4 linked regions of the Rhinolophus ferrumequinum genome follow. The protein of the gene in region 1 purifies or fractionates together with the protein of each later gene. This does not show direct contact. Links are inferred from orthologs where the notes say so. Each region holds a gene or a part of one and is shown in the gene's direction. Other genes may lie near its edges. The genes, in order: MYH9, ENKUR, SPTAN1 and USP11.

What was found.
Region 2: the proteins of MYH9 (region 1) and ENKUR purify together in Homo sapiens (affinity purification with western blotting; 4 studies listed by BioGRID, with this or other methods). This does not show direct contact. The link is inferred for Rhinolophus ferrumequinum from reciprocal best matches to the Homo sapiens genes MYH9 and ENKUR.
Region 3: the proteins of MYH9 (region 1) and SPTAN1 fractionate together in Homo sapiens (co-fractionation; 3 studies listed by BioGRID and IntAct, with this or other methods). This does not show direct contact. The link is inferred for Rhinolophus ferrumequinum from reciprocal best matches to the Homo sapiens genes MYH9 and SPTAN1.
Region 4: the proteins of MYH9 (region 1) and USP11 purify together in Homo sapiens (affinity purification with mass spectrometry; 3 studies listed by BioGRID, with this or other methods). This does not show direct contact. The link is inferred for Rhinolophus ferrumequinum from reciprocal best matches to the Homo sapiens genes MYH9 and USP11.

Annotation. Positions count from the first base shown.
Region 1 is NC_046293.1:10,281,530-10,288,553, forward strand, and holds the start of MYH9 (myosin-9), read left to right. Parts: upstream 1-4,016; 5' UTR 4,017-4,200; intron 4,201-4,785; exon of another isoform or gene 4,786-4,893; intron 4,894-7,024. UniProt on the Homo sapiens protein: Cellular myosin that appears to play a role in cytokinesis, cell shape, and specialized functions such as secretion and capping. Required for cortical actin clearance prior to oocyte exocytosis. Promotes cell motility in conjunction with S100A4.
Region 2 is NW_022680355.1:9,631,725-9,639,613, reverse strand, and holds the start of ENKUR (enkurin), read left to right. Parts: upstream 1-4,889; 5' UTR 4,890-5,102; coding exon 5,103-5,179; intron 5,180-7,889. UniProt on the Homo sapiens protein: Adapter that functions to localize a calcium-sensitive signal transduction machinery in sperm to a calcium-permeable ion channel.
Region 3 is NC_046295.1:77,360,359-77,367,508, forward strand, and holds the start of SPTAN1 (spectrin alpha chain, non-erythrocytic 1), read left to right. Parts: upstream 1-4,146; 5' UTR 4,147-4,161; coding exon 4,162-4,194; intron 4,195-7,150. UniProt on the Homo sapiens protein: Fodrin, which seems to be involved in secretion, interacts with calmodulin in a calcium-dependent manner and is thus candidate for the calcium-dependent movement of the cytoskeleton at the membrane.
Region 4 is NC_046284.1:86,668,972-86,676,214, reverse strand, and holds the start of USP11 (ubiquitin carboxyl-terminal hydrolase 11), read left to right. Parts: upstream 1-4,228; 5' UTR 4,229-4,276; coding exon 4,277-4,422; intron 4,423-4,931; exon of another isoform or gene 4,932-5,081; intron 5,082-7,243. Other genes in the region: CDK16 (cyclin-dependent kinase 16), read left to right, coding at 224-267.

The DNA of each region.
Region 1 (7,024 bases):
GGGCCACTGTGAGCTGCGCCCTCCACAACTAGATTGAAACAACTACTTGACTTGGAGCTGATGGGTCCTGGAAAAACACAAATAAATAAAAGTTTAAAAAAAAAAAGAGTAGAATTGCTGGATCATAGGGAATTACACGTATATTCAACTTTAGTAGCCACACGGATTAACACTTTCCCAAAGTGGTTGTAGAAAGCAATTTATGAAAGTTCCAGTAGCTCCCCATTCTTGCCAACACATAATATCTTAATTTTAGTCATTCTGGTTGGGGATAGTGCTATCTCTTTGTGGTTTTAATTTGCATTCTCTAATAACTAATGATGTTTAGCACTTTTTTCTTTTGCTTACTGGCTAATTAGATATTCTATTTTATACAGTGCTCATTCAAATCTTTGTGCATTAAAACAATTGGATTGTCTTTTTGTTAACGTAGGTGATCTTGATAAATTCTAGATATGTGTCCTTTGTTATATCTATGTATTATAAGCATTTTCTCCCAGGCTGCGGTTTGATTTTTCACTTGCTTAAAATGTGCCTTCTGATGAGCAGAGTTCTTAATTTTCATTAAGTTCAACTTAACAATCGTCTCTTATGGTTTACACTTTTGGGGTCTTGTTTAAGAATTTTTTGTCTACTTCAAGGTCATGAAAATATTCTCCTATGCTTTCTTCTAGAAGTTTTATTGTTTACTTTTCACATTTATATCTCTGATCCATCGTAAACTATTTCCGTCAGTGGTATGAGGGTAGAGGTCAAGATTCATGTTTCCACATGTGGTTGTGCAGTTTACCTAGCATCATTCATTAAAAAGACCATCTTGGGCCGGCCCGGTGGCTCAGGCGGGTGGAGCTCCATGCTCCTAACTCCGAAGGCTGCCGGTTCGATTCCCACATGGGCCAGTAGGCTCTCAACCACAAGGTTGCCAGTTCAATTCATCGACTCCCTCAAGGGATGGTGGGCTCCGCCCCCTGCAACTAAGATTAAACAAGGCACCTTGAGCTGAGCTGCCGCTGAGCTCCCTGATGGCTCAGTTGGTTGGAGTGCATCCTCTCAACCACAAGGTTGCCAGTTCAACTCCCACAAAGGATGGTGGGCTGTGCCCCCTGCAACTAGCAACGGCAACTGGACCTGGAGCTGAGCTGCGCCCTCCACAACTAAGACTGAAAGGACAACAACTTGAAGCTGAACGGCACCCTCCACAACTAAGATTGAAAGGACAACAACTTGACTTGGAAAACAGGCCTGGAAGTACACACTATTCCCCAATAAAGTCCTGTTCCCCTTCCCCAATAAAATCTTTAAAAACAAACAAACAAAAAAAACCCATCTTTTCCATACTTATTTGCAGGGGCACCTTTATAATAAATCAGGTGACTGTATAATTTTATTTTAAATATGGTTATATAAAGATTTGAAGGAAATAACAAACTGTTAATAATTTTTATATTGTGGTGGTAAGGTTTGGGAGATTTTTATTTTCTTTCTTTTTAGTATTTTCTATACCAACCATAATACTATTTTAACACTCAGACAAAATAGATGAAATATTTTTTAAACTATTACAAGAATAGACACTATCAAGGGTGCAGGTTCTTGGGAGATGGGGGAATGGTGAGGCTGGACAGCAAGTAGGAGGGCTTTCTTAGTTATGGATGCATCTAGGCTAGTGGATGGCAAGGAGAGAATTCAGGGCCCGGGCAACAGAGGACTTCCATCTTCTTAGTGACCTCATTTCCCTGGAAGAGGGTGGTGCTAGGAGGCTGGGGCTCCTGAAGAAAATGGAAATGATTGTTCTCCATAACACTCTGTTGAGTACTAACAACAACAACAAGAACAAGAAGATAATGCTCTGTCGTAGTGCACACTGCTTTCAGGTCCAAGTCTCTGGGCTCTTCCCAACAGTCCTGAGGGCTGGGCAAGGCCTGGTGATTACGCCCATTTTGAAGATAAGGAAACAGGTACTCTCTGAGTCCTGCTGAAGCGTTCACTAAGGACCATTCTATGCCAAGCCTCCTGTTAGTTCTGGATCCCTGGAGGGTCGGGGAAGACATTTTGGAAGAGGTGACATTGAAGTGAGTGTTTTTCTTCCATTTTTGGAAAAATTGTGTAAGACATATATGATAGAAATACAGATAAGCAAAAGAAAAAATCAGTCACAATTCTTCTGCCCTATTTACACTGTTATAAAGCCTTTTCAACTTCTCACGCGCTCTCTCTCAGACACACACAGAGTACACAAAAATAAATTAAATCCTGCTACAATAGCATTCTAAAATTTGCTTTTGCTTAGTATAGTTTAAATCAGTAAATACAAATCTGCATTAAAATTTTAATGAATTTCTGGGTATTTTTCAACATATGGATGTATCAAAATTTATTTAATCAATCTATTGTACACTTATAAAATTTAATGACTATCAACAATGTTGAAAAGAACTTTTAAACCCATATCTGTGCACTTTTCCAATTTTTTATTGATGGATTCTAAAAGAAAATTGATTAATTTACTTTCCCATCTATATCTCTAAACCTGGCCAACAGTGGGCATTTTTATTCTTTTCTTTTAAGTTGATAGGTGAAAAATGGCATCCTATGTCGTTTTGTTTGCATTTCTGATGACTGTTTTTCTTTTTTTATAGTTATTGGCAGTTTAGATTTCTTCTTTTTGAATTGCCTGTTCCCTTCTTTTTTCTTTTCTTTCTTTTTTTTTTTTTGCCATTTTTATTTTGAAGTATTTGGGCTTTTTCTTATGGACTGAGAATAACTTTTTATATATTGTTGGTAGTAATTCTTCGTAGCAAAATGTTTTTCCAGTTTTCTTTTGCCTTTAGGTCATAAACTTTTTCTGAAGTTTATTTGGAAGAGTTTAGTCGTCATAGGAAGGAGAGTCCAAAAGGAAAGAGTAATGAGAGATTTGCCCTCTTAGATATAAAATGTATTAGAAAGCTACTGTCATCAAAGTATTGTGGAACTGGCTCAGGAACACACAGAAAGATCAACGGATACAACTCAGAAACAGATTGAAGCGTATGCTGTATGAGTTGGATAGGTGATGAAGGTGGTACCTGAAATCAGTGGAGAAAATGGTGTGTGGACAACTGGCTGTTGCAAATATTGTATTCGATTTCCTCCTCACTCCAAAATAAAAATAAATTCCAGGTGAATTAAAAGATAAATATAAAAATTCTCTTAAAAATTAAAAAAAAATTAATTTTGTAATGGGCAGTAACAACAAAAAAAGTACTCTTTGCCTACCTGAAAAACAAAAAAAAACCAAGAAAACATTTTGTAACAAATACCTAAAAGGAAGTGTGCGAGTTAATCACATGAAGGTAAAGAGAGGCTTGGAGGTGCCTTCCAGACAGAGGGAACCCGTCTGAGCAAAGGTTTGGAGGCTGAAAGACGGCAGCGTGCCCACACTATAGAATCGAACTCAGGGCTTCCACAACGGATCCCGGGCAGAGTCCTTGTTCGCCCCACAGGCCATAATAATTATGTAAAATAGCACTTTTCCCATATATGGTACTTAATTTCTGTTCTGGTAGGATGACATTGGACAGGGAAAACAGCTCGCGGGGGCGGGGTGTCAGAATCCCGGACCTTTCCAGTCCACTCCCGCCGGGCCTCGACCCCGCCCAGGCAATGCACCAAAAAAAAAAAAAAAAAAAAAAAAAATCCCTGCGAGCCTCCTCCTCCTCATTGGACTTTCTCTGTGTCAATCGTCCTCCTGGAACCTGGCTGTCCGTTGGACCCGCCCTAGGAGGCGGGGCTCCCGCCTAGGAAGCGCGGAGGAAGGTGGAGAGTGTGGTGGTGGGGGGATGATGAATCCCCACTTATTTGGGCCCATAGGCTCCGCCCATCCCTTTTTACAGGCTAACATATCTGTCCATCAAGAGTGGGAACAAGCTGGAGTGGGTGAGACAGCTAGGGGGCGGGGGCGTCCTTCAGGCTCCGCCCCGGAGCCGCGGAGAATGGGCGAGCGGCTGAGAGGGCGGGGCGGGAAGGCGGCGAGTAGCCGAGCTGGGTGCGGTGAGGCGCGCAGATCACCGCGGTTCCTGGGCAGGGCACGGAAGGCTGAGCCAGGTTGACCTGCTGCAGCTCCCGCCTCGCGCGCTCGCCCCACCCCGCCGTCGCTAGAGCGCTCGAGAAAGCCCTCTCGGGAGAAGCAGCGCCTGTTCCCCGGGGCAGATCCAGGTTCAGGTGAGCAAGCCCCACCGGCCGGTCCCAACCCGGGGCAGGCGGGCGGGGGCGGCGGCGGGGGCGGCGGCTACTGGACTCGCGGCGTGTGGGGCGAAACGACCGACGTGTGGTTCTCGGCCTCCGCGCGGCCGGCTACTGGCGCGGTCCGGCGCTAACGCGGCGGGGCTGGGCCGGGATACCGCATCCTTCCCTGAGGGGCGCCGGGACCCCTGCGTGACTCTCGGGGAAAGCGCCTCTGGAAGCGAGGCCTTGGGGAGCAGAGGAAGGCTTCGGGGCCAGCGTTCCCCGGAAACCCTCGGTCTCCCCCACCCCCGCCCGCCTCACGCCTCCGGCGGGGCACCCAGGAGCCTCGACCTCCCCCTGCTGCCCGGGCACGCGCCCCGCCCTCGCCTCGCCCAGTTCCCAAGTTGGGCAAACTTTTTAACCCCTTCCGGGGAGCCGCTGTCCCTTCGACCCAAACGGGTGGGGGCAAGGTGGGGGGCACGGGGCTCCGGCTGCTTTGGAAGTTTCCAGGCCTTTTCGAAACGGAGGTAACGGGCAGGCGGGGACCGTTTGGCAGCTGTCAGGGCGTCCTCCTGAGTCAGAATCGGACAATCTGCTGCAGACATTGCACTCGGCTCAGTTTCCGCCCTCCGCTCCCGACTTCCTCATTCGCTGGGCTGCGAGCGAGCGGGCGCGAGGGGACCGAGAGAGGTGCGGAGGGGTGCGCGGGGAAGGGCGACCCCGCGGGACCGGGCCGCCAGGCAGGACAGACTCCCCCGCTCTCCCACAACCCTTCCACCTTTGACTTCTGACTTCTGCCCCGAGAGGAGGGCCCGCAGCGATCGGCTGGGTCCAGGCGCGCACCTGATTGCGCCGCACCTGGGGGCGTCCGGCCCGGGTGGGAGTGGAGGGAGCTGGGTGCTGCTCCTCGAGGACGAGGCCTGGGCTGTTGCATGGTTGCTGTGTGGGCCCGATCCAGGGTGTTCTACACCCCCACCCGCACTTCCCTGTGCGGGGGTGCTCGCGCCGTGCTGTCCTGGGGCCACCCCCAGGGCAGGACCGCAGCCCCTCCCCCCCCAGCGAGCCCCACCGTTTCGCATGGAAACGGACGAGGAGAAGGTTGCCGGCTGTCTTGAGGTGGCGGCAGGGTGAGTGCCAGGGCTGCTGTCTGCGGCCCCACCTAGCCCGTGTGAGGAGAAAGGTTCCTGGGAAGTCCCACGTCCTGGGGACGGCGCGTCCTCCTCGGGGCGCTCGAGAGGCCTGGCCGCTCGCGGTCCACTGCGCCCTGGCCTGGGTTTTACAGGGTTTCAGAGGAACTTGGGTGACTGGAGGGAGAAGAGAGCCCTACGGGCTTCCTGCAATGCTGTGGCCGTTTCTCACCCCACTGTCTGAGGCCCGCCTGGTAACTCACCTGGTGGCTGACTTCCTTTTTGGGAAGGAGGGAGGCTGCTTTCAGGCCTGTTTAGACAATCGCTTGATTAATATTAGTCAATTTATATACCAGGCTGCTAGGGGTGAGAGGTGGGTACACAGATGTGTAACTGAGCAAATATTTAACTGGCTTCTCGGTGCTGGGGACTCTGCCAGGTGGTGGGGGTGTGAGGTTGAGTAAGACCTGGCCCCTGCCCTTGGACGCTTAGGAGAGAGCGGAGACAAATCTGTAGATGACTGTCCTGTGAGGTGAAGATGAGAGAGACCCCAGAAAGGTACTGTGAGTCGTTGGGATTGGGAGAAAAGAGCCAGCCCATCCTGAGGCTCGAGAGTTTACATTCCTCAAGGGGAAATAGTGGCCCAATGACTGAAGTACAAAGGCAGCCTGTGATGAGGGTCCCAAGCATGCCACAGACAAAGGACTCGAGGAATTCCGGAGAGGGGCCACTTCTGTCTGGGGCCAGGAGGGAAGCTGCTTCGAGGAAGTTGCACATTGCAAGTTTGGCAAACTGAGGGCAAGCACTGGGTGTTGGAAAGTGAGGACTCATTTAGTGGATAATTGAGGGGCAATTAAAAGCATCAAGAGATTGCTCGATGTAATTTGAGAGCCGCTGTGCCCCCCAGATGTCTGCGGGGTGACACCAAAGAGCTCTACTCTTCACTGTCAGCAAGTCCTGGCGGTGCTTATGGGCAGATCCAGGTGCCCCATTGGCAGGCTCTGCTTGGGGAGGGGCAGCCTGAGGGGTGTATTCTGTGGGGCTGCTTGTCAGAAGGGCGCATGAGGGGAGAGGAAAGAGAGGGTCAGGGCCCCGGCTTTCTGTTCTTTATTTTTAAACTTTTTAACCTAAGGGGCTGGAGATGGGACAACTTCCCTCTTGCAGGATGAAGGTCGCATGTTAATCACAGCCTGCCTTTCCGCCTGTTCTTGCTCCAGAAAAAACAAAACAAGGATCTGTTAGCTTTTTAAAAGGAGAAAAGCACATTCAAAAAATGCAGCATTGTTGTGTAGCCTGGTAGGGTATTGCTAGAAACCAGGCGAGCTGAGCTTTCTTCACTTCCTCTTGTAGCTAATCCTTCAGTAAAGTGCTTAAGACAGCCCTTACCAGCTTGACATCTTTATTTCAAAAGGAGAGGAGGGGTTGGCTGTTGTTTCCCTCGGAGGCGGGCCCTACCCTTCTCTTGGAGGGGGAGACAGAAACCCAAAGCAAAGGGGGAAAAAAAACCCTTGCTTTAACAGCTTCCTCCCAAGCATCGTGTTCCAGAAATATTTAGAATAACAAAATCTGTGTGTCGTCTTAATTAAACAAACATCCTAATTTGCTGAGCATAAAACAGCATCTCTGCCCGCAGGGGCAGGAAGTGCAATTTCTCTTTGTGCAGCCCCAGAGTCTCTGCCTCCCGGCCTTAACCC
Region 2 (7,889 bases), on another chromosome or scaffold:
TATATAGAATTAGAAAAGGACATTTGTTTACAGTATGAGACCTGAAACAAGAAGGCAGAGTATCACCCTGTTTGACCTCAGCTTGGAACATGCACATCAGACAACTCAAATTTTTCACTACTGTGCACACATCCATGAATGACTGCAAAAGTGCTGTAAATATTAATTTGGGATTAACAGTAAATTTTAGCAACTAGAATTCACAAATATGAAATCTGTGAAAAGTGAGGATTGACTGCATATCATTTCCCTTTATGATTCAAAGCCATGTTACTAGACATTTTTCATTTTGTATTTTAGTATGTTTTTCAGTATAATGGTCATAGATAGGCAATTTTTCTTCAGCCAAAGGACAAAACTAGTTCAAATTAAATGGAAGTCAATCACAAGAGTCAAAAAACAAAAACAGAACTTAAACACAACATCTCTTGGCGATAAAGTATTCAGGTTTCACTGTATCATTAATGTTCTCAAATATTTTTTGTAGAGTCAAGTTCTACACAAAAATATTTTAGTTATACTAACTCCTAAGAGAATGGAAGATCTACACAAATCCATTATACATTGATAATTTTCAAATAGGTTTTCCTACTGATCACTTATCGTGGGGCTTTTTGAACCACTAATTCCAATGGATACTTTTTAGACATAAAAGACATGTCATTCAAATAGATAAAAAGGTAGTGATGTGTCAGTATCACAGCAAGAACTTCAAAAAAAACAAAATCAGAATGTCTACATGTACATATTAATTCAAATACTGTGTGACCCCAAGGCATAAAACTTAACAATTTTATTGTGATAAGCTGATCAAAACCGAATTAAGAATTCAAGGGAAATAAAGTACAGAAATCACTTTTTAAATCATTTCCTATGAACGCTAATAAAGTTACATTTTTAAACCAGAAATATACATTAATTTGCAGGAACCTATGTTTTCCTAAGTTTACCACTAGATGATTGATAACAACCAAACTTATATTCAACCTGTTACCAATTTTTACTTTCAAAATGATCCAGAAGAATTTTTCAATCCATTATAAAAATTACTTAGTTTCCAATTCCTCTGAGAAATTGTCAAAATATTACTTAAGTCAAAACATTGCAGCAATTTGTCATCCATTTAAAATATTTATTGCATACTCTTCTGAAATAAAACATAAGACAGCACTTCAAAAATTATTTCATAATTGGCTATATAGTTCAATGACCTTATGAAAATACTATGCCGGGATTATGCTTGTCATCTATATTAATGAAATCTCTATATAAATTTCTCAGACTAATGACTAAATCTAGTCCATTATCTAATGAAGATATTCTGAGGTTTTAAAAAATTCTTAAAAATTGTTTTCCCTAAAACCTATGTAACTTTACTAACAATTGTCACCCCAGTAAATTTAAAAAAAAATTGTTTTCCAATAAGTACCATATTTTGCCATGTATAATGTGCAACCACGTTCTTGGCCCAAACTTTCAAGGAAAAAAGTCTTTCGTTTTAATTTTTTAATTCAAATTTTTGTTTATATTTAGGTACTTGTTTTCTGTATTATAAAGGAATTTTACATTTATTTGTTGATACATTATGGTATAAGAAATTTTGTGTAACAAATAATTACAAAACACAAGAACAGATACAACATACAAGAAATGTTTGTACCAGTAACAAATTTATGATATTTACACAACCCAGAAGGCCAAGAACTCTTCATCATTGCAAGTTCATCATAAGTTCAATATAACCAATTATCGTTTTCCAGGGTATTATTCTGCATACAGCTACCATTATTGATTTCTACAGTGACACTTCTAACTCATACGCATAAATAAAAGAATTTAAAACAGTTATACAGATACGGAATTAGTACTACCTATGTATAATGCGCATCATTATTTTTCCCTCACAATTTGGGCAACAAAGTGCACATTTTACATGGCAAAATACAGTAATAAGAAAAAATACAAATATACTAGGACAAAATAGGCAGGGGGAGGTAAAATTCTGCTGCTTCTGACTACTGAACAAAAATCCTTCAGTCAGTTTGCTCCTACTTCCTTGGAAACAGTGATGTGGAGAGGGTGGAAGGACCACACACCCCAATGGCATGTTGTAATCACAGGGATCTTACAATGAAAAGCATAATTTAAAAGTTCACCACTCATCTTTGCTTGTATCAAGTTGACTAAGCATTTCCTGTTGTTTACATTTGCTGTTAGATATCCTCTTAGTAGTCTTGAGTATTTAATTCAAGACTTTTTAAGTACACTTTTCAGTACTATGACTTGGAAAAATATTGTAAAGTATATCTGGCTTTATAAAGGGTTTATTTTCCTCCCAATTGTCTTATTTGTATTTCCCACCTACTCTCATTTTATTCATCTCAGTAGATAAAAATAATCTTTAGCAAAAATCCTACTTTGTATGTGCAACCATTTACAGCAGGGGTCTGTGCAAACTACCAAGCCACAGGACAAATCTGGTCAACTACCCTTTTGTAAATTAAGTTTCGCAGGAACACAACTTTACTCATTCATTTGTTCACTTGTTTAGTATTGTCTTTGGCTGCTTTTGAGCTACAATGGTAGAGCTGAGTAGTTGCAACAGAAACCATGTGGCGTGCAAAGGCCTAAAATATTTATTATCTAGCCCTTTACAGAAAAAATTCACAACCTTTAATGGTATACCAATATTAATTCCCTATGGACATACCAGACACAGGCATTTCCCTGAATAGTATTTCCCTCTTGAATGAATTATAAAAATTAGAAACTTATTGTTTGTAAACATGCTTTCAACAGACAAACAGAATTACAGACCAAGTATCTAAGAAAAAAAGCGTTCCCTTCCAAATGACTTAACAACTTCTTCATAACTGTAATCTAAATGTACCATAGTGAGGTCTTAAATTCTGTTTACTATTTTTAAAACCACAGTAATATACTGACATCAGTGAAAATACTGTATTCATAAACACCAGAAAGTCAAGACTAGCCAGTTGGTGCTTACTAAGTGGAGAATCATGCCTTTTTTCTTTGCCTAACTGGATCTTTTAGGAACTGATTAACACAAATAGTCCCAAAGGATTCCTTTTAATTACAAAATGTAGAAATTTTGGCTAATGACTATACACTTGGCTAATGATATCATTCTGAGTCCTTAGTTCAAATCTTGGCATGTACAGAGAAAAATTCTGTTCTCTCTCTGGAAAAAAAAACAACAAAAAATACTAAAAAACAAAAAAACCAAAAAACCGAAACCAGAAATACTCAAACGGGAGACAAAAAAGGGCAAATCTGTATATACATATTTTGACTAGAAAATCTGGTGAAAAAGAGAAACATTCCCAAGGTGTCACTGATCTGAAATAAAATATTTGTTAAACGCCTGGTATAAAATTTAAAATCTCATCAACTGGAAAAGGAATGATAAGGACCTACACATTCCGCATAGCCTTTTAAGTAGGAACTAAAAAGTTAACCAAGCAACCATGCTGTTTTAATCTCTCCACCGAGCACCCCGGCTGCCAGGTGACCAAAACTGGCGTTCTCTCCCATCTTCAAGCTTCTTCATTCCCTTTGGGCAGAGAGGCTACTGTAAGGTTGGTTCAGAACCAGCTATCTTCCTTCCCAGATCGTATTGCCAAAATGTCTTTAGAGACTCGGGATGGCAAAGGCTTTTAAATGCGCTTCTCTCAGCAGTCATAACGTGTATAAACAAGTTTATGAAATACCAAATGGGCTGAGAACGGAATAAAACAGCTTCTCAGAAAGACAATTTTCAAAAACGGACACCAGAAAAAAAAAAAGAGAAAGAGTGAGAAAGGGTAAAAATTAAAGGGCCCATATAAAAAGCTTCTTCTGGTTTAAAGCTGCTCGTTTAAGAAACAAAGTCCACATATCCATGGATGAAGACCTAAGAGGAGGGGACCGATCCAGAGGGGTACACAAAGGAGAGCAGAGGACCGGCGAAGCGCAAGAGAAAGCCGGAGGCCCAGAGGAGAACCCGGGAGCGACAGGTGGACGGGAAGAACAGCGGAAGGTGGGCGCACAGCGAGTTCCGAGCAGGCTGGGACGGAGCGACCGGGAAATGAGCGCAGACAGAGTTAAGATGACAACCGAGTAGCGGAAAGGGGACAGCACGAAGAGGGGAAAGGCATGAGATGGGAACGCCCTGGTTTCTATAGTCTCCCTTTCTTTCTCCTAAAATAACTCACCTAGAAAATCACACTGAGAAGACGGGGGAAAGGAAAAGAAATGGGAGGGTGTCCAGGAGCAGCCAATGTCGCGTTGGGATCGAACCCCGCACGTCTGGCTCTCGCCCCAGCTCGCCCACAGCTCAGGTCGCAACCCTCGCTAGGCCCGCCCCACCCACGCGCTGTGGCCTCTGCGCCTGCGCTAGTGTGGGCCGATGCGGCCCTACGCGCCCGCGCGCCACACCCACGGCCACAGCAGCCCCGCAATGGGCACAGAACTCTTGTCTGGCGCTCCACCTACCTGGGTCTTCTCGGCTCCTCGGACTCCTCCCCTCGTTCGTCCCGCTCTCGACGTTTTTCGTGCGTTAGCGTGGCAACAGTCGCTGGCCCCGCCCCCGCCAGAGTTGGGGCCTGCGCACTAGAGCCTTATTGTGTGACGCGTGCACGCACGCTGCGCTTCGCCTGTGCCAGTAATAGTTTTTCTTTCTCTTCAAATATACAGACAGAAAAGAGCAACATTTTTAAGGGACCCCATTTTTCACCCCATTATTCCCAAAGACGCATAAACAGTGGTCTCCATATTGAACTTTTCTGGCAGAAGATGGAGCTGCAGCGAAGAGAGGAAACCTAGTTTGTAGTGTTGCTAACCACTTCACCGTCGCCTAGTAACTGTTTCCACGGCAACTGCGCCGTCAACAACGCTAAGCAACCCCAAGAGGAATAGAAAAGTATCTTCTTCCCAAGAGAGGACCGCTAAGAAGAGGTCAAAGGGGAATTATGTGAAAGAGAAACCTTAGTTCCTTGAGAACGCAAGAGAGTAGGAAAGGAAAGGGGAAACAGTGAAAAAAGAGACGGAGATATTGGTATTGTGAGAAAAAGTTGAATATTTTGAGGAGTCGTTTGGTGGCCATGGATTCAACATGCTCTTCTGAGAGCATTTATAACCTCATACCCATTGACTGGAAGGAGCCTCCCCAGCCTCCTAGGTATGTGGGTAAGCCAAATTATTGCTTGAAACAAGAATGGGGAATAACTGTTCCATTTCAGGATTAACTAAGGATCACATGACTTTTAAAAAGAAATAAAAAATATTTTTGTCTTGATCAAGTTGCCTTGAATGGAAACTTCTTAAAGGAGAGGTTGCAAAATCTAGGTATTTAGCACCTCACAATTCAAAGGGCGATCCAGTGCTGTGAGAGGGCCATTTTTTTGTTAGTCTCCTGTAGTCCGGTATGTAACTGTTTTGTAATTTATCTAATTGTTCGTACGTACTGTGGTTGGTATACAACATAGCGTGAAATTTCTTGTTGAAAAGAGAACATCACAATTTTATTGTCCTGTGTTAGGATACTTGATATTTGGTTTCAAGAGTTCATTGTTTTGCCTCAGATTACACTACTCCTTTTCTGAAAGGATAGTACTTATTTTTTTCCCCAAGATTATTGTCAAATATAAATTTGTTTCTGAGCCTCAGTTTTTTGATCAGTGAAACAAAATAGACTAGATAGTTTCTAAGGTCTTTTTCAGGTCTAATACTTGGATGGAAGGAAGAGTGGATCGATAGAGAACCAAAAATATGTCCTTGAGTTAAAAATTTTACATAGGTGTTAGGACCTCTTAAATTCCCCAAATTTCAAAAAAGTCACCACAAAGTAAACATTCCTGTTACTCTGCTTTGCAGGAACTTAGAACTTATTTAAATCTATGGGGAGAAACTCCTTTTTCCTGATTCAAGTCAAAATCACAACTGGGCAAAAAACAAAACAAAACAAAAAACAGGCACTGCAACTAATAGGTTTTGGGATCATGAATAAATTTTTATTTTCTGATCTGTGAAACAAACTAAATGAACTAGATAATCTTTAAAGCCCCTTTCAGATCTAATGGTCAATTATTTTTACTAATAATTATGGGGGGTGCAGAACGTCTTCAACAAGTGGGCAAATCCTTCCAATTTAAGGCTGAGTATCCATGTTTTAACCAGAGCAATACATACATTGTTTTACATGAGCTTCTCAAAATCTAGTAGAGATTGGAAAGGAGAATGCAAAGTAAGATATGATACAGTTACAGATTTTATGAGGAGTGTTCAAATTAACTATTGCTGAATGGACTTTGATAAAAAATTCCAGTCTATTGTAGAATATAAAGCTCTTCCTCTTTGTAACACACCAGCAGATTGTATTTTCTGTAGAGTACTGAATTTGAATGGTATGATATTTTATTAGGTGTTCTGTTCATTGGTAAAAAAGCTTTACTATGCATCTAGGTGATTTTTTTTTCAAGAAATTTTATAGGAACAATCTCTATTCATTTGACAAGCATTAACTGAGCTCCTATTATGTGTATAATATTGCCATTGGGGAATATTCTTGGGGAATATTGGAGTGACAACACAAACTCCTTGGGTTACTCTGAAGTAATGAGTAGGAAAAAGGAATTTGTGGTGAAGGGAATAGAATGCATACACATGTGGTGCTACAGAACACTGTCAGGTTAAAGTCAGCCGACTCCGTCAGCAAAAGCATGAGGAGTTTTTAATTTGACAAGATTAAAGAGTTTCCATGTCATGCATGCAAACTACTAACTTATAAAAACAGAGCATGATAAAACATTTAAGCAATTCTTTCTCACCACACTAACACAAACTTGCCTTTACCCAATCCCCTTACTAATAGTAAGAATTAATTATAAGAAATGTATTAAGCTATGAGGCTTATTTGCGTCACTGAATTACAAACCCAGCATCAAGAAAGCTCACTGCAGCTCTTTGCAAGACTGGCAAGTTGATTGTCCGGCTTTCATAAAGAGATGGATTCTTTGGAGAAATCAGCAATTGACTGCACTGTGATCTCCCATACCTCAGAGGTTACAGCCTCCTTGGGCAAATGAAACAAATATTAAATCATTGATTAATAATAAAACCATATATTATTGAAAACCCTAATAAGAAATACAGATACTATTAATAAATGAGATAGATATATGTAACCAAAGTGGAGGAGGAAGCAACCTTTTGGAGATGAGCTGGGACTTAAGATACAAGTCAATGGGAAGCCATGAATCAGTTTTCAAAATTTCAGTTGCTCATGATACATGAGGTGGTTTCCAAGATCTTCACCAAATTTGTCACTCTTCTATTGATGGCTCCAATTATTAATATCTCCAATCATTCTCTCTTTTCCTTTTGTTTAAGGCAATGTTCCAGATATGGTCTGAACAGCCCATAGAACCATTATCTTCTTGATACACAATACTTTTATTGATGGGTTAGTAGCATTTTGACAGTCATGTCTCACCATTGTTCCACATTGAAATCCCCACATAAATTATGACTAAGTTTGGTCCCTCCCATTTTATAATTGTGTAGCTGATTCTTTTTGATCTAAAGTCATCATTAATCTATGGAGATAGTTTTGAATTTTTCATACACCCTCTTAACCATCCGTCCCAGCTGTGTGTCATTTGCAAATCTAATAAGTATGTCGTTTATATCTCCATCCATCATTGAACAAGGCAAGTACTTTGCACTTTGGTAGACACTTCTTTCTAGGCTGACAGGAATAATGTTTTTTGGGGTTCAGTCAGTCGTCCAAATGCATCCATTAATCAGTTCATGTTTTCTACCTTATCAGTAAGAATTTAATAAGAGGCTTTCCTAACACCAAGATACATATTATTATGTCAAGGTATTTG
Region 3 (7,150 bases), on another chromosome or scaffold:
GCTGGGCCTGGGCCCGGGCCCAAGTTCTGGTGCAGTGCCCAGTGCCTTTATATTTATTTAAAGAGTAGGGCTGCTTGGTAACCAGGAGGCTGACGCCTTCCTGAGCTGCAGAGTTCCTGGTCTGCCTGACTGCACAGGAATGATCTGGGTGTTACTACCAATGGCTGTGGCCCAGCTGTCACCCGAGTGGGGGTGGGGAAAGGGCGTCCTAAGCCAGGGCTCTGGATACTGAGTTTAGAGCCAGGCCCTCAAACTGCTAGGACTGTTGAGAACAGAAATTCCAGAAATCTTATTTTTCTTTTCTCAGCACCCCAGCACCCACCATCACAACGCTTCCCTTTCCTCTAGGAAGGCAGTATAGCATACTGTTTAAGAGAAGGTTCTGACTGCTTGATTCAAATCCTAGCTTTTCTTCTTGCTAGCTGCCTGACCATAGGCAAGACACCTAGCTTCCATGTTAGAATGCTCATCTGTAAAATGGGGAAATAATACGTCATAAAATTATTGCAAAGATTAAAAAAAAAGGTCACACATGAAATGCTTAGCATAGTGCCTGGTACGTGAGGAACATTCAATTAATTGAGACAGGAAGAACCATATCTTGTTTAGAAAATAAAAGTGGTGCATCCTATTTCACTGGCGATTTGTGAGAAAGCTTTTGTTGAGAATATAAGAAATTACCCTCAAAATCCCAGAACGACAGACTTAAATTCCAAATCAGTCGACTTTATTTTTTATGATCGGTTTTGGCCTTTTCCTACCACCTCCTCAAACCCGGAGCCCCCAAATCATCCTCGGTTTCTGACCCCAGCCGCCACCGGCGTAGACTGACTTAGGTCCCTGGCCCCAGCCTTCTCCCAGGGAAAGTGGTCAGAAGGAAGAGAAGCACACGGTGATCTCATTCTTTGAGACTGGGCGTTTTTCCGGCCGGGACGCGCAGCATCCCAGCCGGGCTGCAGCGATGGATCCTGCCCCGCCCTTCGCTGCAGTCCTGGAAGGGCTCCCACGGGCGGAGGGGTGGAGGGGCAGGGTGCAGAAGAGTCAGTGCAGGGCGGGGAGGGGCAGGATTGGAGAATCCGAGCTGCGGGGAGGGCGGGGCGGCTGCAGCAACTCGGCCCGCCCGGGCGGAGGCAGAGACTCCACTGCACCACCGACCCCCATCTCTGGCGCGCGCCCTACTTCCCCATCCCGCGCGGCGCCCCTGCAATCGACCCTTCCCCAGCACCGCCGCTTCGTCTCCGGTCGGGAACGCTCGGCCTTTTTCGCCGTGCGCTCGGGAGGCGAGACGGAGGGAGCTCCGCCCCCTTTGCTCCACCGGCGTTCGCCCCCGCCCCTAGCGCCGCGGGGGGGCACTTCCCCCGCGCTCGCACCCGCCGGCCGCCGGAACGCGCGTGGCCGCCTATAAAAGAGGTGGGGCGCGCGCGTCGCCGCCACTACCCGCTGCGGAGCGAACTGCGAGGAGCGGAGGCCGCGAAGGCGCGTCGGTCCCTCAGCACCCACCCCAGCCCCACATATCACTGCCCTCACCCCCAGGAGCCGGTGAGAGGGAGAGAGGGGGAGCGCGGGCGGAAGCGGGGCCCGAGAGCAGCCGACCCCTGGGCGGGTAGCCGGATCGCCCCCGGGGAGGGGCGGGGCCAGCCGCGGACAGGTGAGCCGGGCGGGCCTCGCCGTTCCCTCCGTCGGGCGGGGAGCCGGGCGAGCCGGTCGCGACCGGCTTATGGCGCGTGGGCTGTGGAGGAGCCGCCGGGCCGGGGCTGGGCGCCGGTGGCTGGAATGTCATTGACTGGGCGGAGGGGGTGGCGAGGCCGCTGGCTCCCCCCCGCCCCCCCGCCCCAGCCTCGCGGCGGCCGCGCCCTGTCCCATCCGATTGCGGCAGGTGGGGCGGGGGCTCCCTTGTCGGGATCGTCACCACCCTCCTCCAAGCTGAGCGCTCCCCCCACCGCCCCCAATCCCTTCCCTTGGTGGGGAGCAACTTTTGCCCCTCCTTTTCCTAAATCCCTACGAGCAATGCCGGCTTAACCCGTGAAGGAGGAAGCGCCGAGAGCTTGGGTAAAGGGCTCTTTGACGTTCATTTCGTCTTGGTTGGCCTTTTCTTGGCCTTCTCTCTAGACAAGGAAAGATCCGAGGCTGGCTGGCCATCTCCTTTGCTTTCCTATAATAAACATTTCTTTCCTACTTAGTCGTGATTTGCTTGTAAATAACAGGTAGCTGCGGCGTTTGTTTTTTGTGAGACCCAAATCAAATAATTTAGTACCTCTTTTTTTCCCCCGAGAACGGATCTTTCCAGTCGAGGACAGTATATTATTTGTCAAAAATTCCACAGCCATGCCGGTGTTGAATGATAGAGCAGCCTTTTGTTTGAAAGCCGTTCGCGAATTTGATTAGATGCTTTCCAGAGAAATTGCTTTTAAAAGTCTCTTTGATGTACTGAGATACAATATATTTTAAATAAAGGGCTTGTTAAGGTTAAGGGTTGAATATGTTTTAAATTAAACGCCTGAATAGACCAGAAAGCTGGGTTGAGATGATGCTTGAACTGCTGCAACACCTTATTACATCTATTTTATATAATAGATTCTGAAATCTGTAGGCCCTTTGTTCTGTCTTCATCATGGTATTTTAGAAAAACTTAATATCATGGCTGTTAGGGAGGAATAGAAGAGAGACCATATGAAATATTTTCATAATGTGTTGAGAAATTGCGTCGTCATAGCAATTGGACTTGACTAAAACAGAATGTATCAAAGATGGCAGGGTGGGGGTGTCTTGCAGCCAAGAAACAAAATTCTTAAGACTAGCAGTGGGAACACTCAGCTGTATGAAACCATTGAGCCAAGGTTCCAACTCCACAAAACTAGTCGTTTCTCTTCCCTTTTGTTACAATTAATGTCTCAGATTTTGAAAGGTTAAATTGAAGTCACAATTTGAAAAATGTGCTGTGTGTGGGGGGAATTGAGCTGCAGTAAGGGCCTCTGTGCAGGAAATTAACAATAAGCCTTTTTTAGTAACTGGGCCAGTAATTACTCAAAGGGACCCTCAAAGTGTGCTAGCTGTTACCCAGGGACCTAGAGGAGAGACACAGACTCCAAAGGAGGATTTGCTCTGTACTGACAGGTGTGAAGCAGTTCTTAGCCTTAACCCTCAGCTCAGTAACATTCTCTGATACGCTGTTGGTCTGTGGCTGTGTGTTGTTTAGTAATCTAATAACTGGGGAAATGTCATCTGTCGACAGGCTCTAATATGAGCACTCCAGGCAATCTGATGAACAGGTTTAGATGGGGAGAGCTGTCTTTTAAGCATATGTTTTGGTTCCCTGGGTTAGAATTTTCTCTCCTTTTCCTTACCTGCCTTCATCTCAAAGGGAGGGGCCCACTGCGGACCCTGAGAAGTGGCTGTTAGGAATAGTGCTGTCATCCCTGAATCTGCACTAAGGACAGTAGGCACGGGACCTGCCTCCTCACTAGTCCTCCCTTGGTGGGCTATGCGAGGACTCCACTAGTTGTGCAGCTGGGTCTGCCGAGGTCTGTCAGCTGTGGTGGGTGTAGGTGGAAGAATGCAGCGCCCTCATGGCAAATGCTGACTCCAGGAATGCAGGAGGAACGCAGCTGCGCTGGTACCTCCCTCCCACCTTTTTTGCATATTCCTCTTGTACTGGTTTTATACAGGAAATGGTATTTTGTAGAGGAAGTGTACCAGTAACCTAGGCCCAAGTCAGATCTTTTGCACCTTGAGTTCTTTCTTGTTTCTGATGATTTCATCACATCATGCTGTTTTATTACTGAAGGGAAGGAGACTTAGGAGTCACCTAGTCCTGGAAATCTCAGTTAATTCATCGAGATGGTTAGTGTTAAAAAGTATATTCAGTATCATTACTTTATTTGAAAAGTGGGGAAACAGACTCAAAGGGAGGGGGGTGACTTGGCGTGGGAGCACATCTAGATCGGAACTGTTAAGACTAGATAACCTCGGTTCTCTTTCCACTTTGTAACGCCCTTGGAAGATTCAGAAGGCACCGGGGACATATGTGAAATTGGATTTTTAGCTGTGTTCATATATTTTTAAGGATCTGCTTTTTTCATTTTGAAGTTCTTTTGTGCCGTGCCCTTAGAAGCTTGTTATCTTGCTCTCCCCCTCCCTCTTTAGACTCCACATTCCTCCATCATGTTGTCATCGTTTCGTAAACGCAGAATCCAGGTATTTATTTGACCAGCATGCAGGAAATGCGATCTTTTCAGTTTTGCCTGGTTTGCGGTGAAGACACCTTTGTGTCCAAGAGGTTGAATGATTCAAAGAGAGGGGGCAAAAAACCTTGCCTGCATGACTTTCCTATTAAGGTTACTGTTAGGGTTTATTTTTTTGTGGTTTTTTTTTTTGTTTGGTTGTTTTTTTTTTTTGGTGTTACATGAACAGAAATCTTAGTCAATTCTAAAATTTCCAAAGCCTCCTGTTTTTTACCTTCCTCTCTTTAAGGCATGGATATATTCATTTCTTACTACGCTACCGGTATTTGCATGTAGTGTTTGCTGATTTTTTTTTTTTTTTGATAGTTACTTGGTTCTTAAGAACCAAGGGAGTAAACAGATTATCTTAGATATTTGGAAAAAATAATTTGAAAACATGCAGTAAAAATAGTACTTTTAAGTTTGACAAATATTGTAAACTTGGGTTTGTTTCCTGTTCCCTTTGACTTAGTTTTTCTGCCACAATCCCTGTGATGAAATGGAGCTTACATTTTTTTTTTTTAAAAAAAGCTCACTATATATCTGTTTTATTTGTGTACAATTTTTGTGTGTTTGCTAAATTGGACCTTCAAAAAGAAAAATGCTTAAAATTAATGTCTTGATATTTCATAAGGAGAAATACAAACTTTGTGAATTCTTAGTGATTATGGGTGATAAATCCAAGGCAGGCCCTTTTATAACTCAGACTGGTTAATTATTTAAAGGAGGTTTATAAAAATGGGCCACTTCATGACTTTCTCGTTTTGACTCTCAGTAACAGTGTTTTGCACTCAAAATACCTCTCATCTGAATTTTACAGGTTGACCGGTAAGTAGCAGCCAGACAGTATTTGGGGGGCTGTGGACGTATGTACGAGCAGCGCCGCTCTGCGTTTCTGAGTTTTGATGCAATGCAGTACAAGACCTCTCTCCAAAGCTAAGTCCCTGCTCACCTCTGCAGAATCCGGCTAACACGTTCAAATGAATTCATCAGTTTGAAGGCTGACATGCAAATCCACAATCCCGATTGGAATGTGGTTTCAGCAAAAAAAAAAAAAAAAGTGTTCATTGTTAAACTGTTACTTGATGTAATATTTACTTCTGCTTACCAGCAGAACTGCCAGGAGAATCTGCAGCTAAGCTGGTTTTGCGTTAATTCATTTGATCTGAGAATCCATTGATATAAAGTTTTTATAGGTGCTGACCAAGTTCTTTGGTGTTTGTTCTGGGGGAGCTTTTCCACATCCATGGATGTACACTTCTCTTGCTTTGGACATGTGAGAGATGGTGATAGGTTGGCTTTCTAAGCCATGGAAGAAAGGCATTTGCCAGTTCTGCACCTTTGGGCTCTGACTAAGCAACAAAAACAAAACTAATGAATAGTTTCTGTGACCTTTTGCTTTGGGTGATGTTTATGAATTTTTCCATAGAGCCAAATGATCTCTGCATCCTGTTACTCTGTAAAATCCCTTTCCTTGCAAAACAATATATCTGGTGTCCTGCCTGCAATCGGAATTCCTTTTGTAGTAGTCCAAATGTCTTCCATATGGCACGTTCAGCCTGTTGAAGTGACAGTGGCCCCAATGCTTTGTTGTAAATAGTCACTCCTTTCATAGTCACTATAATTTTATTCTCTTCCGAGGTCCCGTAGAGAAATTGCTGGATTCTTCCACTCTCCCAGATCAGTGTGAGGGTGTCCTAAGCCACTCACGGCAGGCACTAAGTTTGCAGAGTCCAAAGCATTTGACCTTTGGCTTGAAAATGTTTGTTTCTGCAGTCCTCTCTGTTGCTTAACACAGAGTTCTTCTCACCCACCCGCTGCCTCTTCCTGCCCTCCAAAGGTAGACACAGCCCCTAGCACAGTGGCACATACAGCTTCTGTAGATTAGGTTAAGGTGTTTAAAAATTGCCAAGTACCAAGGGCTGCCTCAAACAGCTATCTCGTGGCATTTGTCGAGAAGACAAAGATACAATTAATGGCTAGCCTCTTTAGTGAGACTCCATTTTCAGTCGGTATTGTGTATGAATGTGTTTTGGATATGACGAGTCATTCGCAGGCATGTTATATCTTTGGATTAAGGTAGAACTTTCTAGCTAAGATTCCTATGTTTGTTTAGACCCCCACGCTTTCTTCCCAGAGATCTAGCAGTATTGTAAGACCTGACAAGTTCCTTTTATTTATTACTGTAGAGGACATGGTGGTGATTCCTGTTTTATCCCCCGAGATCCAGTTCACATGACTTGCTGAATGAGGCAGCCAGCGTTTTGACTGCTGCATTGCAGCGTTTATAACTAGCCTGCATCTTCAGCCTTCTCTGACAGTCTTTGCAAAAATGGGACCTTTTCCTTTGGTTACCTTAAATGGGAAGCTGTCCTTAAACATACAAAGAATACATTCAGCACTTCATTTCCACTCCTTTCTCTGTGTACATAGACTTGACTGGCAAAATCAGAGCTGATCGGCTGCTTTCAGATAAGCAGTCAGTTGATTGCAGTCCCAGGAAGTCAGCTCCTGTGGGTTTCAGGCCGTTAGTGGACTAGACAGATAGGCTGGTTGGAGATTGTTTTTTGGTGGCACTTTTCCCAAAGTACTCCTTTCTAGCTCTTCAAACGTGCTAATCTCATTAAGGCTGGGTACAGCCTGGAACATTCTCTGTGGAGTCTGCCTTATCAGTCAGCTACATATTTCAGGCAGTCATGGAAGAAGGTGGTGCATACAGGCAGGGTCCAAGGGATCCTGCTCACTGTCTCACAGTTTTGGGTGAGAGTTTGGAACACCTTTGGGTGGCAGTTGGTTTTAGTGATATGAGACTTTTTCCTGTGTTTAATGTAGTCTATGGAAATGGCCCTTTTGGGAGCAAAAAGAAACTGGAACTTGTGTAGATAAACTAGAGACAGCTCCATATCAGGTTAAGGGTGGGGGGAGCTCTT
Region 4 (7,243 bases), on another chromosome or scaffold:
AGCAGCTGGAGGGATGCCATACCCCTCACAGGGCAGCCCCCAACTGCATCCTCCCTGCTTGCCACCTGCCTGACTCATGCTCACCTGCCCACATGTCCCCTGCTGCCTGTCCAAACACCCGATCATTGGCCTGTCAACCCACCCATTGGCCTGTCTGCTGGGTGCTAACAAAGCTCTCAATGCTCCTTCGCCTGGTCTGTTTGTCTCTTTCTCTCTGTCTCAGTAGTTGCCGGCGGACAGCATGGCCGTGCCAGCCTCCCACATTGAGGCCAGGCCTGTACCCCTCCTCATCATGCCCTCCCCCAGGACCACTCACTACCCCTTGGCTAGCCAGGGGGCCAGAGCTAGCCCAGGCAGGGGTTCTCGACTCAGACAAGGTGTGGCGATGCCTTGGGTCTGAGACTGTCCCTGCCTGCTTTCCTGCCTGCCCCACCTGCCTCATGTTTTGTGGGCCGTTTGTTTGTTTGTTTGTTTGTTTCATTCATTGTTTTTTAATTATTTTAAATGAGGTTTTCATTTTTTAAATGCAATATCTCTGTATACAGACTGGCTGGGCCCCACCCCCTGCGTGTGGCCCTTCCACAGTATTTTGTGCAATGAAGCCCCACTCCCAGCCTTTCCAAGGCAGGGACACAGCCCCTATTCAAAACCCTGACCATCACCAGACCCTGGGGTCGGCTAAGGGAAAGCATGCCTCAACTACTCGCCTTCCGACCCCCGCCGGCCATCCCCAGCCACAGGGGTACCTGGGCCCTACTGGAGACTCTGGGAGATGGACAAGGTGGGGGCCCCCACTCTTTCCCTCTTGCAGTCCCACAGCTGGGGTCTCTTTCCTTCTCAGGGTCTCCCTAGCCCAGCCCTCCTGCTCCCATCCCACTCGGTGCTGTTGAGTAGGGGCCCTGCCGGGAACTGACCAACTCAGTGAGGAGCCATAGTGTATATGTGCACAGGCAGGGACAGGGGGGCAAAAGGGGGGGTTGTGCCCAGGCGTTAGCCCCTAACCCCTGGGGAGGGTGAGGCAGGGCAGGGACAGTCTCTGGGGTCAGTCCCAGATGGGTGGTTACCTCCCCTTCCTCCACTCTAAACCCTGGGTCCCTCAAATGGGGTGGGAGGGCAGGGGTGGGTGCCCTCCTAGTGGGGTTTGGGGGGTTGGGTTCCTGAATGCACCATAATCGCTGTATGAAATATTAAAAAGTCTAAAGTGAAAAACGTGATTGAAAATCCCTACAGGGGTGAGGGTGGGCTTGACCCAGGGTGAGTGCTGGGACCACGGTGAATTCATACCTGGTCCCCGTAGTGTAGGAGAACACGGGGAGTGGGCCAGGGACACGTCACAGCTATGAAAAAAGCATCAGGGTTTGCACACACACCGGTGGAACACTGAAGCAGGTAAGGCAGGCTGGATAGAGGATGGGCTAAGAATCAAGCAGACAGAGGAGTTGGATTTACCCAAGAATATGAGGAAGCCAGCTAGAGGGTAGAGACGGGAAGGTGTAGGGAGGCTGTTTGGAAAATACATGAAAGGCCCACAAAACCAGGAGGTGGGGAGATGAGGCAGCAAGGCCCAGTATGACCACCACGTGTCTCACTGGGACACCATAAGGCAGGCCAGTTGGAGAAGGAATATGAGAAGAGGATGGATTTTGGACCACTGAGGGGGTAGGGGAATCCTATAATACATGGATTAAAATCAGGAGTGAGTCCATCAATGGAACTTGAAGTTTGGATCATTAGTGTCTAGGAAGTAATGAAAACCACGGTGAGACGTGGGTGAGATAACCCTGGGAAGGATGCAGTCATTTGTGAGAGGCCACAGGTCGAATGGCACAACCTGGGACTTTGCCTAAAGTGTGAGGGTAGCCGAGGCTTTCATTCTCTTTGTCCTGAGAGTTCTAGCCCCTGTCCCACCGTTTTGGGCAAAGCCAAGAATCGACTTCCAAGCAGAAGAGATGGGGTGGGCAAGGCCAGGTAAACAGTGCAGGTAATAGCAAGTCTAACTATGCTGGTTACGGAAATCCAGCGGCAGGGGCCCAAGGGCCTCTAATCATTACACTGTGTTCCTGTATGCACTTTGGTTATATCTCAGCTTGCAGCCTCACGGTTCCGTGATGGCTGTCATGGCCCCAGAGGTGGGAAAGCAAGCAGGCAAAACAGGGCACCCTCCCTCCCTGTCTGTTTCCTTGTAACAAATAGGGCTGCAACTTCCTGTGCCATCTCTTGGCTAGAACAAGATAAGGAAGTTGTCCCCCTTCCTGGAGCAAGGGAGGCTGGAAAAATGAAGACCTTGCAAAGGGGGACAAGATTGCCAGGCCAGCCTTAGAAAGGCTAGAATTCACACAACTGCTCTGGGAAGTGGTAGGGTCACCGGTGTGGGCAGAGGTGGGCTTCTGGAAGGTGCAGAGAATGAGTCCAGCCCTGGGGAGGGAAACCTTTTGGACTGTAGGAAGGACTGGCCACCCAGGTAAATGGGGAGGAGGAGTCTGCAGAGGGGCAATGGGAGAGCAGCTGGGCTTGAAAAGCAATGAGCAATGTGCTATGTGCCAAACCCAACCTGAATGCCGCTATGGGGACCCCCAGGTGAAAGGGCTGCTCCCTTTTCTTCCTCAGAGATTATGCAGCTGAGTTGTTACCCTCATCCGTGCCAGGTCTGGGCTGGGGTCTGGAATCAGTAATAAAGACAACCCCTGCCCCACAGAGGTAAATTATGAGATCGTGTATGTGGGGCGGGTTGAAATTGTGCACAGAGAAGGTATTCTGGACACTCCAGGCCCAGGGACCTGTGTGCATGCATGGGCCTAGAGGTGTGGAGAGGCGAGGTGTGTTCTTGCCTGTGGGACGGGGTGGTGAAGTGAAAGAAGTCACTGAAACAGACCCAGGATCGTGAGCCTGTCCTGGGGAGTTTGTGGGATGGTCAGATGGGGATAACCAAAATACAAGTATGTAGATGCAGGGAACCAGAGGGAGATACTACTGTTATCACCAATAGGGAGGGTGGGGAGCCCTAGCAGAGAAAAGAATGGCATAACCTAGTGCAATGATTCTGAATCGGAGATAATCCTGCCCTGCCCCCAGGGGACTTTTGGCAATGTCTGGAGACACTTTTGGTTGTCCCAACTGGGAGGCGCTAACGGTATGTATAGTGGGAAGAGGCCAGGGATGCAGTGCAACATCCTGCACTACTTCCCAAAACAGAAATGCCAACAGTGCGGAGATTGAGAAACCCTGGCCTAGTGTAACGGTTCTGAAACTTTTGGTCTCAAGCCTTTTATATTCTTTAAAGTTGAGGACAGCCAGAAAGCTTTTGCTTTTGTCACAAAGCCTCTGAAAACTTCCACCACACGTGCAAGAGAGAATGACAATAAAAAAAGTATTATGAAACTATTTTTGACTTTGTGAACCCCCTAAAGGGCCTCCTGAACGGATTGAAGCCTAGGAACACAGTTTAAGTATCTCCAGCCTGGTGTTTAAGGTCACAGCTCGAACTGGAATTCCTTTATTCAAACCACAGCTCAGCCACTTACTGGCTGGAGCAAAGTGAAGTAACATTTCTGGTCCTCAGCTTGCTCCACTGTTGCCCATGGGCGACTGATATCTGCTGCCTAAGGCTACCATTTACTGCAATAAAGCACTTAAGGCTGTTACTAGTTATCATTGCTGTAACTCCGATAAATACACAGGGCCTGGGGCTGACTTCCATTCAACACGGTTATGGAGAGAACAAACCTAGTTCAGACAGGGAAGCAGTCCGCAGGCCTGGGTGGCGCTGTGGAGGTGGTGACCTCTTTCGCATTGGATTTTGATAGACGAGAAGTGTAGTGCATTGAAAGAAGGGCATCCTGGTCCGGCTAACAAAAACGCCGCTCCCAGGGTAGGGACCCGCGGTCCCCAGCAGAGAACCGAAAAGACCTGGTACCTTTGTGTGTCCTCGAGCACTCCCCAGTATGTCCTCGTCTACCTCGGGGACCTCTGCCTCCACCCTCCACACAACCATTTGCAGGGACTCAACATGGCGTTAGGATCCCACAAGGCACCTTTGTCTCTCTTAGCTCCCAACTGGAGGTTTTACCCCGCCTATTAGTCTGAAACATCACCACCCACGGTCCAATGCCGGCCTAGCGCTTGGACGTGTCCCACCGTGGTGCCCATTTCCAAGATTGTAGGAGCCCCCGGCTAGTTGGGGGGCTCCGCTTCCGTTTCCGGGCCAGAATCCGGAAGTGCCAATTGAGGGGGACTCCTCTATGCCCCTGCGAGGGCTGTAAGAGGAGGACGAACGGCGATGGCGGCGGTCGCAGCGAATCCTTCGGCTACGGCCGAGGACCCAGAGCCACAGCGCGAAGCGGTGCCGGGCCTAGAGAGCCAGCGGCGCCAGATTGAGAACGTCGAGAGTGGGCGAGAGCGTCCACTACGGGCCGGCGAAAGCTGGTAAGACTGGGCTGCAAGCGGAGCCTTGGCTAAAGGGATAGTGGGGGTGTTGGTGATGGTGGAGAACTTGGCGCCCAGGTCCGCAGTTCGGTGGGGGCGGGGGTGTGGCCTGTGGCCTGTGGGACGGAGAACGAGCGGGGCAGAGGGGCGGGGAAGTGCCTGTGAGTGATCGCTTGGTCTGGGAAAGAGGCGTGGCCCGGGGGTGGAGCCTAAAGCCTGAGAACCAGATGGGGTTTGTTATGGAGAGGTAGGGGGCGGGGCCTGATAAGAAACGGCCTTGGGGGTGGGCCTGGTCCTCCGTAGAGGAACTTGGAACCTGGGAAGGAGGCGGTCCGGCGGCGGTTGGGGGCGTGGTTTGCGTGGAGTCACGTAAATCTGGGGGCGGGGGCGGTTGCTCCACGGAGCCTGAGAACGAGGCAAGGCGGTGACGTCAGGGAGAAGAGCGAAATCCGAGCTGTGGGCGGGAGAGCGGGGCTCGCGCCTGGTAACGAAGTACGTGACGTGCGCCGAGGGGCGTGTCCTGAGGCTAAGGAAAGACTGCGGCAGAGGGGAGGTGTTGCTAGTGAAGCAGAAAATGGCGCCGGCGAGTGAGCGAAGTTTGTGACGCGGCGAGGTTTTTGCTTTCGGACGAGGCCTTCCCAGGTCGGAAGAAAGTGCAGGTGATTGGCGCGGGAGGGACCTTCGATGTTATATTTGGTTTCTGTTTTAGTACTGTTATTTTTTTGTCTTCAGGGAAAAAAAAGCGCTATTTTTAAAATGTTAATGAGTATCTCGATAAATAGGGTTGTTTTTTACTGATTTCATGGCTAACCAGTGCGTGAAATCTACTGTTTCTGAGTTCAGTTTCTTTTTTGCCGAATTGTATCTCCTTTTTTAAATTATGAAATACGTAAGCCTTAAGCAAATTGTATAAAACGTTTAACGTAGCCCAAATCGATGGACATTCTATAAAAGTAAACGGCCGTTTTGAATAAACGGCTATTCAAAAATTTCAAGGTCGTGAAAGACAAAAGATGAACTGTTCCAGATTGAAGGAATTAATGGGATTTAACAAGTTAATGGTAACTAAATGAAACGTGCGATCCTGGATTGGATCCCGGAGCAGAAAAAATAAATAATTGAAAAATGAGGCTTTTTTTCCTCATAAAATTAATTTTCTCTTCTTTACTGTAAAAGATGTTAATGGGAAAACTGGTGAAATTTGACTAGGTCTGTAGATTCGATATTAGGACCGCTAATTTCTGGCTTTTGGTAATTGTGTTGTGGTTGTGAAAGAGAATATCTTTGTTTGAAGGAAGAACATGCCGGAATATTTAGGGGTAAAGAATCATCAGCTTACTCTCAAATGGTTGAAAAAATAGGGTATATAAAACTGTATTTAAAGAAACAATGGTCGAGCAAATGGGTAAAATGTTAAATTTGGTCTTCTGGATGGCGGGCATCCGTGAAGTCTTTGTATTACTTTTGCAGTTATTCGGAGTCTGTTTCAAAGTAAAAAAAAAAAAACAAAGAACAATAAAACAAAAATTTGTGAATTCACCACTCGGGTTAAGATTCAGACGGTTACCTTAAGAAAGCCTTCTGTGCCCCTCCCAGATGAAAATTCAGGAAACTGTTATCCTGAATTTTTAATTTTGGTAAATGTTTTTCCACCACTGTATGCATCCAAAAATAGTGTTTGTGGTCTAAGCTTTAATTTTCCTGGAGAATATATATGAAACCATATTGGATGTATACCGTGTACATTGTATCAGGTGGTACATGGTATCCACATGACGTCGTTTGTGACGTTAGCCTTGATCACGTAGTGAAGGTGATATCTGCTCGGTTTCTCCACGGTAAAGGTACTATTTTTCTCTTTCCATGCACAGTAATTCTTTCAAAAACATAATCTATGTCCATCTGTACCTCAAAACATTTTAGCAGCTTCCCACCTCTTGCAGTGTAAATGGTAAAATTGTTAGTGGCTTGCAAGGCTTTATGATTGTGAGGCTGGTCCCCAGCTCTGATTTCTCCTCAGATCTGATTACCCTCCCCCTCACCTTCTCCAACCGGCCATATTGGACTCTTGCTGTTCCTCTAAGGCCACGAGCGGGCTCCCACCTCATGGCCTTTACAGGGAGGTCTGCCCATCTTACAGAGATCTTTAATCACGGAACTGGTAAAATATATATATTCCTGTTACTGGAGAGACACGGTTGAGATTCCCTAAATCCGCAATACGGAACCAAACACTTTTTTACACCGTTAAGCTATGGCTCTCCAAGGAAAAGCCTCAGTCCATCCTGAGAATAAACAACAATAACTGGAACGTCTTTATGGCCCGTTTAGAGGTGTTCAGGGTTTCCTTTTCGGGGGGATTGAAAATGTTTTGGAACTAAATAGAGGTTGTGGTGGCACAACATTGTGAATGTACTAAATGCCACTGAATTGTTCGTTTTTAAAATGGTTCGTTTTCTGTTAATTTAATTTTTTGTGTGTTATATCAGTAAAAAAGTTAACCCACCAATGTTGGTTCAGTATTGAAGCCAGTTTATCTCTGCTACTGTGGATAATATCAAGAAGCGTTTTTCCTTAACTCCATTTTTTTATATGCTTATCTATTTAGGTAAGAGCAAAGCATCTCAAGGTTCTTTAATTTGCCGCCTATTTTCTAGGGGTTTGCTACAGTGGTCAGGAAATTTGTGTTTAAAGCATTTTGAAGTCATGAACTAACCCCAAAATCATATACCTCGTATCAATATTAATATTTGCACCTTCTGTCTTTTGTCAGCTGGTAGATCTGGGTAAGGGCAATTGATTTAATTTCTAGGAGAAGCTA